Mus musculus: one gene and its partner. Each later gene encodes a partner of the first gene's protein in a complex. Links are inferred from orthologs where the notes say so. Each region holds a gene or a part of one and is shown on either strand. Other genes may lie near its edges.

What was found. The genes of interacting proteins can lie anywhere in the genome.
Region 2: the proteins of Tomm5 (region 1) and Vdac2 are in contact, whole or in part, in a cryo-EM structure (PDB 9EII), measured with the Homo sapiens proteins. The link is inferred for Mus musculus from reciprocal best matches to the Homo sapiens genes TOMM5 and VDAC2. Residues at the interface, in NP_001001790.1 of Homo sapiens: Ile25, Arg29, Leu32, Ile33, Ala36, Arg39, Val40, Phe43, Ile44, Lys47; in NP_001171752.1 of Homo sapiens: Val38, Thr60, Gly63, Asp239, Tyr258, Gln260, Thr261, Leu262, Leu268, Leu270, Val286, Leu288.

Annotation. Positions count from the first base shown.
Region 1 is NC_000070.6:45,104,300-45,110,934, reverse strand, and holds Tomm5 (mitochondrial import receptor subunit TOM5 homolog), read left to right. Parts: upstream 1-2,821; 5' UTR 2,822-2,901; coding exon 2,902-3,022; intron 3,023-4,046; coding exon of another isoform or gene 4,047-4,096; intron 4,097-5,290; coding exon 5,291-5,325; 3' UTR 5,326-5,726; downstream 5,727-6,635.
Region 2 is NC_000080.6:21,829,031-21,835,722, reverse strand, and holds the start of Vdac2 (voltage-dependent anion-selective channel protein 2), read right to left. Parts: upstream 4,163-6,692; 5' UTR 4,056-4,162; intron 3,873-4,055; 5' UTR 3,848-3,872; coding exon 3,814-3,847; intron 2,840-3,813; coding exon 2,771-2,839; intron 1,923-2,770; coding exon 1,873-1,922; intron 1-1,872. UniProt on the Homo sapiens protein: Non-selective voltage-gated ion channel that mediates the transport of anions and cations through the mitochondrion outer membrane and plasma membrane.

The DNA of each region.
Region 1 (6,635 bases):
TTTCCTACCTTGAGCAATGCACATACTGGCTATTTTGTTTATCTGTTTTAGTTTGGTTTTGTTGACATGATAACCGAAAGCAACTAGGGAAGGAAATGGTTTATTCTTGCAGATAGGTGCAGTCCATCACAAAGGGAAGCCAAGAGCAGGAAGTCCAGGCAGGAGCCTGAAGGCAGGGTCTGAAGGAAGTGGAGGCTGTGGAGGAATGCTGCTTACTTACCTAGCCAGCTCTCTCTCAAACAATCCAGGCTCACGTGTCTAGGAATGGTACCGCTCTTACTGCGCTGGGCCCTCCCACACCGATCATCAATCAAGGAAGTGCCTCCCAGGCTTGCCCACAGGACGACCTGATGGGGACCTCACCTCAACTGAAGTGCCCTCTTCCCAGGTGACCCAAGCTTGTGTCATCTTAACAAGAATCTAGCCAGCACACTAGCTGATCACGGGTGATGATATATTGACATTCATGCACTCCAAACTATTATGCCCTCAATGACACAAATAGAATTCAAATGCATAGATGATCAGAGTGAGAAGAGACTTTAGAGCACGAAAGAGAGACTTGTCCCTGATTTTGTGAGCAGGGAGAAGCATTGCCAAGAGTGATCTTCTCGGCACTCATGAAGGCTGGACCTCTTCCTTAGGAGTCAGCCCCTCCCCTACCACTGCTGCCTCTGCTTGTCCACTGTCTGAATTATAGATGCAAATACTTACTAAAGCTTGAAGAAACACTCGAGAGTTTTTTACTCTAACCCCAGGGTCTTACACTCTGTCAATCAGGAAGGTGCTAACATTGTCAGTCATTCTCACAGTCAAGTTTTTTTGTTTGTTTGTTTGTTTTTTGGTGTTTTTGAGACAGGGTTTCTCTGTGTAGTCCTGGCTGTCCTGGAACTCACTCTGTAGAACAGGCTAGCCTCGAACTCAGAAATTCGCCTGCCTCTGCCTCCCAAGTGCTGGGATTAAAGGCATGCACCACCATGGCCGGCCTCAAGTATTATTCTTTTGTTTGTTTGTTTGTTTGTTTGTTTGTTTTTCGAGACAGGGTTTCTCTGTGTAGCCCTGGCTGTCCTGGCACTCAATTTGTAGACCAGGCTGGCCTCGAACTCAGAAATCTGCCTGCCTCTGCCTCCCGAGTGCTGGGATTAAAGGCGTGTGCCACCACGCCCGGCTTCAAGTATTATTCTTTTTTTTTTAAGATTTATTTATTTATTATATGTAAGTACATTGTAGCTGTCTTCAGACACTCCAGAAGAGGGAGTCAGATCTCCTTATGGATGGTTGTGAGCCACCATGTGGTTGCTGGGATTTGAACTCCCGATCTTCAGAAGAGCAGTCGGGTGCTCTTACCCACTGAGCCATCTCACCAGCCCTCAAGTATTATTCTTATTTAACCCCAAATTCATTGTTGTTATACAGTGTGCCTGCAAAAAGAGACGTTCTGATATTGGATTATGTGAAAAATTCAGTTGTCCCATTCATGTCTGAAAACTCTAACTTGATTTTCTCTCATCTGTCCAGTGTTGATCAGTTTTGATCTGGGCTCATACTTGCTGTAGTCCAAGATCTTCATTAGAATATTTAAAGATCAGTTACCTCCAAAAAATGAGTGTACAGAAAAAAAATGTGGGAAATGTTAGAATTTCAGTGTCTGGGACACTAGCAGTCTGAGCTCACTAGCTGAGGGTGATAACCTTGACCTCTGTTTTTTGTTTGTGTTTGTTTATCTTGGGATTGTTTGTTTGTTTCAGATTGTCCTTGTAATTACTTTGTAACCCAGGCTGCCCCTAACCTTGCAGTAATTCTTTTGCCTCTGTCTTCTGAGGGCTGAAATTACAGGTGTGAGACACTGTTTCCACCTTGACCTTGAACTCATTCGTTTGTTTGTCTGGAGACAGGATTTTTCTGTGTCACCCTGGCTGTCCTGGAACTCACTCTGTAGACCTGGCTGGCCTTGAACTCAAAGATCTGCCTGCCTGTGTCTCCCAAGTGCTTGAGCCAGCACTGCCCTGACCTTCAACTCTTGACCCCTTTTTTCCAGCAGCCCAGTGCTGGGAACACAGGTGTGTGCAGCACTGTGCTGGCTAGTTTTTGTCAACTTGACACCTAGGAAGCGAAAACCTCAATTGAGGAATTGCCTCCACCAGATTGTCCTATTGGTGAATTTGAGGGTCATTGTGTGACTACTAGTTGATGGAGGAAGGCTTAGCCCACTGTGGGCAATGCCACCCGGCAGGTGGTCCTAACCAATAAAAGTAAGTTAGCTGGTTGAGGCCAGCTAGCCAGTAAAGACAACGTCTCCGCTTGGTTTCAGTTCCCTCCTCTAGGTTCCAGCTTGAACTCCAGTGCTGGCCTCCCTGGATAACGTTAACAGGTTAGGTGAAACACTTTCCTTCCTAAGTTATTTTGGTGGTGTTTATCACAACAGCAACACTATCCAGGGCTTCATGCATCCTAAGAAAACGATTTGGCAAACGAACTTCATTCCCAACTAAGTTGTTTTAAATTTCAAACCTAGGAAGGACAGACTAAAATGTGCATTTCACGAAGTACTGTCTTAGATTCTTCATAAATGTTATTATTATTTATAATGATATTTTTGCACACACCTCCCTACTTTACAGCATAAAACAACTTTACAGGTGGCACTCTCCCGGCTAGGGACCAAAACACAGTCCAGATCCACCCAAGGCTCAGAGACTTAAGGCGGCGGCCGCCCCCTTCAGGTCTCTTTGCTTCAGACACAAGAAGACAGGATGAAATTTTCCCCTCACAGGTTCCCGTCACAGGACAGAAACAAGGGGTGGGACAGGAAGTGGAGCCTGGCTAAGTTCCGGGTGCAGGGCGGCCACTGGAGGAGAGCAAGCTGCTGCTCTCGCAAGCTTTGGAGGCAGAGCCGCCGCAATGTTCCGGATCGAGGGTCTCGCGCCCAAGTTGGACCCGGAGGAGATGAAGCGGAAGATGCGTGAGGATGTGGTCTCCTCCATTCGGAACTTCCTCATCTACGTGGCCCTGCTGCGAGTCAGTGAGTGTCCTTCTGGGCTGTGACCGTGAGGCCACGCGTCCACACCCAACCCTGCACGCGGTCGTGGGGCCTTGAGCTGAGCATCCTGGGGAGAGTGGGGTGCTTGCACGTCCAGGACTGCCCAACTGCGCACACTCTGGGGGTCTGCGGGTCCTGGGGATGTGCCCAGTGCACGTGGTGGCGGAGGACGCGTGGTTAAGTCACCTTTGCTCGCCCAACGTTTGTGCTTAAGAAGCTCCCACGTGTTATCCTCGGAGCAATACCCTCGTTTTGCAAACCTAGAAACGGTCCCCGGAAGGTGGCTGACCCAAGGTCATTTGGCCGTTCAGAGAACGAATACAATTCCGGCTGAGCTCTTAATAAGGTAGCAGGCGCTTTCTCTCTCTGCTTGCCTTTGAAGTACAAGAGATTAGCTTTCTTTATGTTTGTTTGTACAGAGGGTGAAGTAAATAATTGGTTTTTCTTGGAGAATCTCTGAAGCGTTTGATCTCAACATTAACAAAAGTTGCTTGATCTGTGCCACCTCACCCCAAGTGAGAGCTTGAGTTCATAGGACACATACTCAAGGTTAAAGCCATACTGTCAATTTAAAAGTCAGGGGCTGGCTAGGTGGCTCACTGAGTTGCCTGAGCCGGATCCACACGTGGTGGCAGGAGAGAACCAGTTTCCAGAAGTTGTACTCTGACCTCCACACCTGTACCACTTCTTCCTATTGTCCAGTGCTTGCTTGCCTGTGGGAGTCTTCTGGGCAGGGAGAGGCAGGAGCGATTCAAATAATTGAAGAACATACCAACATTTTTAGAAGACTGGAGTTAAGGCCTCCCTCATTTGGGTGCCTCTTTTGCTGTACTCTCTGTATTGCTGGCTCCTCCAGGACAGGACATCTTGGGGGAAATGGAAGCACCCAAAACATCCTGCTTACCCTTTAAACTTTAGCTTTCCCATCCTTCTCTTATAGGCAAGAGCTCTCAAGGAAATGTTAGCTTAGTGCACTGATTTATTCTATTTAATGATTTTTATTTAGAACCGGGCATGGTAGCACACACTTTTAATCCCAGCACTCAGAAGGCAGAGGTAGGTGGATCTCAATGATTTTTTTTTTTTTTTTTTTTTTTAAAGACCAGCCTGGTCTGCAAATGGAGTTCCAGGACAGACAGGGCGGTTACACAGAGAAATCTGTCTTGAAACAAGAGACTTTTGTTATGTGTTTTTCTGCTTGTCTATATGTGAACCACGTGCCTGCAGTCCAGAAGGGGGCGTTGGAATCCCTGGAACTGGAGTCAAGCTGGCCATTAATTGTAAGCTGCCAGGGATGGCTGGATGGCTGGGCTGCTGGGATCTGAACTCAGGTCCTCCTGATTGACCGCAGACACTCTGAACTGCTGAGTCATCTCTATCTCAGCAACGCCACTTGGGTATTCCAGACAGCTCTGTGCACATCATTTATCACATCAGCACAGTAACTGGTGTGATCTGAAGGGCATAGGTGACAGAGTCATAGAGAAACCAGAGTAGGTGTCTGTTCCTCTGCTTGCCTTACACACACACACACACACACACACACACACACACACACACCTCCTAGCCCCTGTTCTCCCAGCATTGGTAATGAAGCCTAATGCCCATTTGATTCCTCTTGCATTTCGTCTTGTTTGGGTTAAAAAGGAATCTGCTCCACCTCCCACCCCCCTCAAGTATACCTTGGGGGTAAAGTCCTTGCCTGGCCCGTGCAAGACCTGGATTTAACTTCCTGTAGTGCAAAATAGGTCAAAGATGCCCACAGTGAAGGGCTGTTGGGGTTACGTACAGCCCTGGAGGAAAGATGCCGGAGTGTGAGGTTGCTTGCTCTTTGTGTGCGATGGTTATTGAGTGACATGGGGGTGGGCAGCTTTGCAAAGCAGCGGATCCCTTCTTGTGGTCAGACACAATTGTTGGATAACAATTTGGAAGTTTCTAGAATCATATTTCATAAAGTCAGTGACATCCACCATCGCCACCACCACCACCATTATAACTGTGCAGTATGGCCTGAGGACTTGTAGAATAAAACCTAATTCAGGGGCTGGAGAGATGGCTCAGTGGTTAAGAGCACCAACTGCTCTTCCAAAGGTCCTGAGTTCAAATCCCAGCAACCACATGGTGGCTCACAACCATCCGTAATGAGATCTGATGCCCTCTTCTGGGGTGTCTGAAGACAGCTACAGTGTACTTATGTATAATAATAAATAAATCTTTAAAAAAAAACCTAATCCCGGGTTTTTCTTTCAGCTCCATATATCTTAAAGAAGCTGGATAGCATCTGAGGACGGGCAGTCAGGTGGATGCATGGCATGAAGACCTGGTGACGGCTTCTCCTCCTGTCTGCAGCTGAATTGGCCCAGAAAGGTGTAAGGCTGATTAAACGGACATATAAACTACTTGTTGAGAACAAGTAGGACTTTGAGAACTGACCTCCATAGCTGAAATATAAAGCCACTTGGGAAGTGCAAAAAGATGTCTTGTGTTCATGGTGCCCTTAGGCCCATGAACTCCACCCCTGTGAGTGTTGATGGAGTGGTTAATAATGTCAGGCTCTAAGGGGAGTCATTTCTGTTTACCACTTCTGTTCAAAGTGTTATTTGTGAAGTCTGTTTGGAAGTCAGCATACACCCACAATGACATTTAAGCACAGTCTATATTTTTAATAAACATTCTGATGAAGAAAGCGTGGTTTTGTGTTTTTAATCCCACTTTGGTCATGGCCATCCTTGGTGGGACTGTTACAGCACTGCGACTATTGCTCCTGGAGTTTGGTTTGAGCTTGAGAATCTGTTAATCCTGCTATGTGGAATTATGCTTCTTGGCCAAAGTCTTCATGAACTGCAGATGACTGACTGCTTAGTGCTAGAAATACAAAGACCATGAAAGTGGGGAAGGGGAGGCTGCATTTTAAACTCCAATAGTTCTCTAAGAGTGTTGGCTGAAGAGGGCTATCAGTTCTCCAGAGCAACTATCCATGCTCCCCTCTGTTTGGCTAATGTATATGGGTTTTGTTTCATTTGTAAGATTGTTTCTATTTGATGTCTATATGTGTCTGCCTGCTTGTATGTATATGTACCACGTGGGTGTTTGTTGCTAATGGAGACCAGAGGAGGGCATTGGATTCTCTGACATCGGATGCTGGGCCTCCTGCGAGGGCAACAACCGACCCGTCTCTCCAGCAACACCAGTGTATCTTGTAACATGATGGTGCTGTTGTTATTCTTTGTACCCCTCGTGTGGATGTTTGTTTCTTGTCACCTGTCTTCCTGTGTGCACCTAGTGCGGTTTTGGGTAGACCGGTGGTTTTCTTTCCCTACATAGTCCTATCATCTCCTAGATTTTATTTCCCTATGAACTTCCCACTAAATTAACTTTTCACTGAATACCAAAATGCATCATTTGCTTTGGTCAGTCACTGCATCTTCTCGCCTTGCTGAGGGAGTGTTCCCTGGAGCCTCTGCTGGTCCCTCTGGACTGTGTGTCTGTCACCTGGGAACGGTGTTTTCCTACCCTTGGTGTTGTTTGTTTTCCTGGGGCCCTGACTGGTGGCATAGGAAGTAGACATTTTTAGACCTCACTGGTCTGGAAGTGG
Region 2 (6,692 bases), on another chromosome or scaffold:
TGGTTGGTTGGTTTTTAGTTTATCAGAAATTTCGATACCTGAAAAGTTAAGAAATGTCAAACACTGCCAAGCAGTGGTGGCAGCGCTCACCTTTAACCCCAGCACTGGGAGGCAGAGGCAGGTGGATTTCTGAGTTCAAGGCCAGCCTGGTCTACAGAGTCAGTCCCAGTACAGCAAGCACTACACAGAGTAACCCTGTCTTGAAAAACTAACAAAATAACATTTTGGAGGTAGATTTGTTTTTTCAAAGGAACAGCGCAGCCTATTATAGGATAATCCAACTGAACTGACAACATGGAAGCTTTGGAGCTCTGCATGCACATCGAGATGACATTAAATACACATGAAGTATGCTCTTCTTCCAACAAACAGTTTACATGGGAAATGTGTATGGGCAGCAGTTTTTAATCCTGCATGACAATAATTACTCAAGTGCCACCTACTACCATCCACCAGTCCCTGAGATCAAGAACCAGCCTAACATGTGCCAAGGAATGCTCAGGACACAAGGCCAACAGGGCCAGAGGACCAATCCTCTCCATCACTGGAGCATCATCTTCTACATTTTGGGTAGCCTGCACATCCTGCAGTTCAAGAAATCAAAAGACCTTAGTAGGACTTAATTCTGGGCAGGTCTGCGTAGTACACCATCAGTGCTATGACGACTCAACTCTACTCAAGTATAAGCAGAGCATCCCCTCTTCAATCCAGGTCCTACATGTCCTTCAAGACCTTACACTTCCTAACTTGTTCCTAGTTCTGGTTTACCATCAGCCTTTCCTTTCCAACAAGAATTTTTAGTTTACAAATCTACTGCTTGATCCAATTCTCTGATTATCTTCGACTTACAGTTTGTCTTTCCAATAGAAAGGGTGTTTTTGTTTGTTTTACAACACTGGACCTCATACATAGCTGGGTAAACACTCTACTGCTAAGTTACACTCCCAGTCTTAAAGTAAACGTTTTAAAGACAAAGATGGTGTGTTTTAGTTTAAAACAACATACATGCACAAACACATTTAAAATTCAGTAGGCTGAAAATAAAGATTAGTAGTAGAGATGCAAGGCCCAGCAACAGTAAAGAAAAAATACTTACAGTCACCTAATACTCTATAATCTATTAATCCAAGTCAGTCACTCAACCATAACCAAATAATTAAGACTTCTTCACAGACCAAAGAAACCACAGGACAAGACAAATATAAAAGCCACAAATGCAACAGATCTAAGCATCAAGAAACAGCACCACAAACAACTTAATAGATACCAGTTACATGCAGAGCAGCATGCACACAGTACCGAGCAATCATAGTTTAGCATGAACATTAAACACCCATCTCCAATCTCACAATAAAAACTTCTAGAGAAGAAGGAGAACAGTGCTTTACTTTCTCCCTTCTTTAACAACAGTCGGGAAGGATCAACACATATGAAAATAGCAAATTCTGTAGAGACATTCCAGTCAGGATAAACAGGCAGACATCTCCATGGATGGCTGTTAGAATGTAGCCACTATACTAAATGGTCATTGTAGTCAAATAACCAAGTTACTACTCAGAGCCCAGAACTCTGACAGGTACTAAGAGAAAGGGTTACAGGAGTCACGGCCTTCATGCTTGTCATCTACCTGAGTAGACAGTCCCAAATAAGCAATGGCTTTCCCAACTTCTCCATGCAATCATGGTAAAACATACATAATAAAGGAATATAACAAAACCATGTGAAATGCAGAAATCACATACAAAGCCAATAAATCAGACTACACATAAATCATTCAAAACAAATTAGCTTCTGCCTCCTTAAGGGAAAAGAGCTGTAGATATTTATGGGCTATGAAATTAACAGCTTCGTGAAAACGAATCAATAACTTACCACACCGCTGCATGACTTCGTCTTCACATCCAGCTTCACCAGCCCAAAGCCTTCAAAAAGAGAGGGCAAAGATATGATTCTTCTGCAGAAAAGACGTATACCCACACTCAAAGTACTGTGAACATAATCCCAAAGTCCGGGACAGAAATGGACAAATGCACAGCACATGAAGGAACATTTACAAGCAGTCAGCTCTGCTAAGGTGACAGTAGCGCTGCCTAGTGTCCTATAACTGGCTCCACTTCCTGCCGCACCCTTTTCAAGCCATTTTTAAACGTTAGATTAAAAATCAGTTCCTCAGACTGGCCTACTGTTTATGGCAACACACTTAGGACTTTTATCCCAAAAGGGTATCACCAAAGAGCAAGGGGTAGTGGTATGTGCAAAACAATCAATTTTCAAGAAAGCACAAAAATTGACTCAAAACTCTAAGGTTTCCACCTACCCAGAGTCATAACCACAAAAATAAAACAGTAATTCTAGGCAGCTCTATCCAACCATGGTCTGAACTGTCACTTAAAAGAATAAAGTACAGGCTTTCCCCTCTCCCTAGGGGGTGGGGAGTGGGGTGGTACTCGCCTCCCATCACTTGGGAGGCAGAGGCAGGTAGATCTGAGAGTTCAAGGCCAGCCTGGTCTACAGAGTGAGTTCCAGGACAGCCAGGACTACAGAGAGAAAGCCTGTCTTGAAACAAAACCAAAAAACAACAACAAAATAAAAAGAACAAGCTTTTCAATTGTGACCGAAGAAAGGCTAAGAAAGTGGGGTACACATGCAGCTGGCAGAGGCATGAGTGCAGCAGGGTATTCAGTCTAGAAAAGCAAAGCAATTAACTTTTTTCAAGAGGTCCAAGCATATATTTTTCTCTTTTATGTTTAAAAGGGAAAAAAGTCCTTACCAAATCCTTTGTTGAAAATGTCTCTGGCAGCTTTGCCGAGGTCAGCATAGGGTGGAGGGATACACATCGCTAGTCAAAAGAAACATTCTACAGTTAATGTGAGCTACTACTAGGACCTACTGCTAACATTTACATTCAAGCAGTTCAACCGGAGTGGGTTTTGATGCCACTAGAACTTCAATAAATGTTATTCTAAAGTAGCCACCCATAACAAAAACTTATTTCTAAATAGCTATGTGGTAATACAAACCTGGGACATTTCTACCAAGTTTTAAGAATGGGGGAAGCCTTTCTAATTCCTAAACATAAGTGTCTACTGCCTACACAGTTGCCAAAACTCAAGGTGACTGATTTAACGGAGATAAAAACCAAAATTTAAGCTTAGGCGTTCTCCCCTAACAAACCTTTGGGAAGGACTTCCAAAATCAAAACCAACACTCTGGGAACTGGCACAATTGAGACACGGGCAAAAAATACAACCATCTATGTCTACAGCAACTAAATATCAAATGGCACTTTAAACACATTACTACGGTCCCCCAAGTCCTCCGACAACGTGAGGCTTAAGGGCAAGGAATCCGAGCTCCAGGAGCAGCTCATTCATTCTCCAGTGCACATCCACGCCCTTAGGAACACGTGTAATGACCTTGTAGTGCACTCGACCTGTGCAGGCAGACAGCGAACTACTTCCTCTTGCAAAGTGACTGCTCTAACTCTCCGCCCCCCCCCCCCGAACCCCAAGATGGAATTCAACAACTAAGTGTTTTGCTTTCGGATTTGTAAGTAACATATCCAAAAGCCAAGGGTGGGTGCGGCCAAGGACCAACGCCCCAGGCGCGAGCCCCCCTATCTGCAACCCAACAGCCCAGCACCACGTCCGTCAACAGAGTGGCAGTGTAAGACTTAGGGGGCGCGCAAAGAAGCAAACTTTCCAAGTCTTTGCAGGCATCATGTGGGCCACGGCGGAACAAGGTATGGTTCTCTAAAGAGGAACAGCACAGCCCCCATGGCCCCATCGCGCAAACACCTCTTGTGCTACTTACGCCGTGGGCATACCGGTACACAGCACTCAGCCATGGCGAAGTCGCGGGGAAAAGGTGATCTGTGAAAGGGACAAGAAGTGCGGTCAGGGGACAGTCAAAGGGTCCCCTGGGGAGCTCGGACATTAGAGAAAGGGGCCGGGGCCGCTGCGGCCATCTTAGGGGACCAGGGCCGCCCTGAGTTCACTCAGGCTGCCGGCCCGCCCTAAGGCCCCAGAGTCGGCAAGAGGCGGGCACCATAGTACCTGCGGGTGTCCTGAGGGGCGCTGCCGCCACCGCTCGGCTCGCAGCTGAGGCCACTCCGCTATCTGAAAGTTGCGCTGCAGCCACCGCGGCTGGAGGGCGAAGTGAAGGAGACACCGTTGCGCCCCGCCGCAAGCCTGGCCTCCCCCAGCCAGGTCCCCGCCGCGGCCGCCCGGGCTGTCTACCGCGCCTGTCCTTGCCGCTCCGCCCGCTGCCCACTCCCACCTGCTCCGGAGTGACCACGTGGGTCGAGAGCACGGCGGTCTCCTTGGGTGAGCGGTCTCGGACCGTCCGGCGGGGACGGGGCGAGCAGGAGCTGCGGGGCCTCGGGTTAGGCAATGTCCAGGACAGCCCCAGAGGCGAGGACCTGGGAACGGCGGAGGCGGCGCAACGGCACCCGCGCGGTCAGGATGGGAGTGGCCACGCGAGTCGCGACGGGGCGGGGCGATGTGCCCCGCAGGGTCACGTGCACCCTCTCAGCCTCCTCCCTGAGTCCCAGCCTGGAGGTCTGAACTTAAGGTCCGGGTTGAGGGGGATGAAACACTCTCCCCAAGTGCAGCCTCCATGCTCTTCCCATCTCGGTTCACCGCCCACCGCCATGTCCTCCCCTGCTGGGACTAGGCTGGGCTCCAAAGGAACAAACTTGAGCCAGTCTCTGGGCATTTCTCTCGGAGCCTCAGGGTTGCGCTCCTGCAGCCTCCGTCTCACCCATATATGGTATGGGTTCACACACGCGCAGAAGCACATCCTGCTCTAGGAAGAGAAGCTTCCCCTGGTTGAGAGGCCTGGAGAGACAAGGGAATAACTGTAGGATTCATGCTGACCAGTCATTAGAATGCTGCTCTCAAGTTCTTTAGATATGCCAGAAGAGGGAGGGAGCAGCCAGTCCTGATGCCTATACCTGTAGTCCCAGATCTGGGCGGCAGAGAAATTACACCAGATTGAGGCTAAACTACAGAGTGAGGCAAAAGGTTAATAAAGATAAGAGACCGCTGGATAGTGGTGGTGCACACCTTTAATCCCAGCACTTGGGAGGCAGAGGCAGGTGGATTTCTGAATTCGAGGCCAGCCTGGTCTACAGAGAGAGTTCCAGGACAGCAAGGGCAATACAGAAAAACCCTGTCTTGAAATAATAATAATAGAGACCAGTTTGAGGCTAAACTACAGGGTGAGGCAAACAGGATAATAAAGATAGAATCGGAGGCTCAGTGAGTAAGAACCCTTATCTTGCTGTGCATGCAAGGGGACCTGAGCTCGGATCCCCAGCACCCAACACCCACATTAAAAGCCAGTAGTAGTTCCAGAAATAGAAACAAGAGGGTCACGGGGGCTCTGTCAACCTGGCCTGCAAACCGTGTTCTCTAAATTCTGTAAAAGGTGAAGAGCAGTAGACACTGTTCAAAACACACACACACACACACGTCAGCCATACAGAAGATTTAAAATGGAGACAACTGACACTTCAGCTCAATAAACTCAAATAATTTAGCCTGTGGACCTCAATTCCCTCATCTCTAAGATGCTGTTTAATAATCTTCAATAGACATACAGTTGGACTGAGAGCAAAGACACCCACACATATGCACTCATGACTCAATCGTCTCTGAACTCTTCCTCTACTCAAGTACTGTTAAGTCATCACTCTCCTCCTAAGCCGGAGGAAAGATGGCTAGGTGGGCTCCCCCCAATCCAACACCCAAGTTTAAAGTTACACTCTGGTATGTTTCTCTCCCAGGAGCAAGGCTAGCCAGCAACCTCACCTGCTCACAGCTGGAATTGTGTTGTAAAAAGTGAAATGGGAAGAGTCTTTGTGTGTATGAGATCGGGCTCCAGCACCTGACTCATCCCTTCATCCAAGCTCAGGCAGGTTGGTCTGCCATGGACCTGGCCCACGGGAGACAGTCTGCCCCAGCTGTGTGATGCTTGTGGTAGAGTTTGGCCTCCTCAGCACTGCCTTCCAGAAAAACTCAGCCTGCTAAATTAGTTACCTCAATTGCCTATAGCAGGGCTTATTCCTATTCTGTATTACCTGTCACAAGTTTTGATCTCCAGAGACATCATTTTCTGACACAAAAGTCGGAAGCTTTACTCTGTAAAGTATGTGGGTGGTGCTTAATGGCCACTGGGGACAAACTCCAGCCTAAGCAAAGAATTACAGGGGTGGGAAAGATGGTGACTCCTTCCCATCATAAAGACACAGCTGACACTCCTATGTAAAAGGCAGGTTAGCAAGAGAAATGTATAATTCATTTATTTGATCATGATTTTATATGATATACAAGCCACCAAACTGAAGAGCCCAAACATCCAAGGTGAATTATTGATTTTTATTTTTGAATTATTGATTTTTGTGCTTAGGTTGACTGAAGCATGGACAGCCAGATAGGAATATAAATGAACAAAAAGAGTATAATCTTTATAACAGAATGAGTAAGGATCCCACAGGGTCTGTCCAGGTAGCCCATCCTCCCAGCTATGGATAAGAACTCCTTCTAAAAAGAAGGGGGTGGTCTTCTTGGTGTAATGCTGGGAATTGAACTAATGTAAGACCAGCATTACACCACTGAGCTATAACTCCGATCCCCTTTTTAACTCTACAAAACCAGGTCTCTCACTAAATTGCCCAGGAAAGCCTTGAA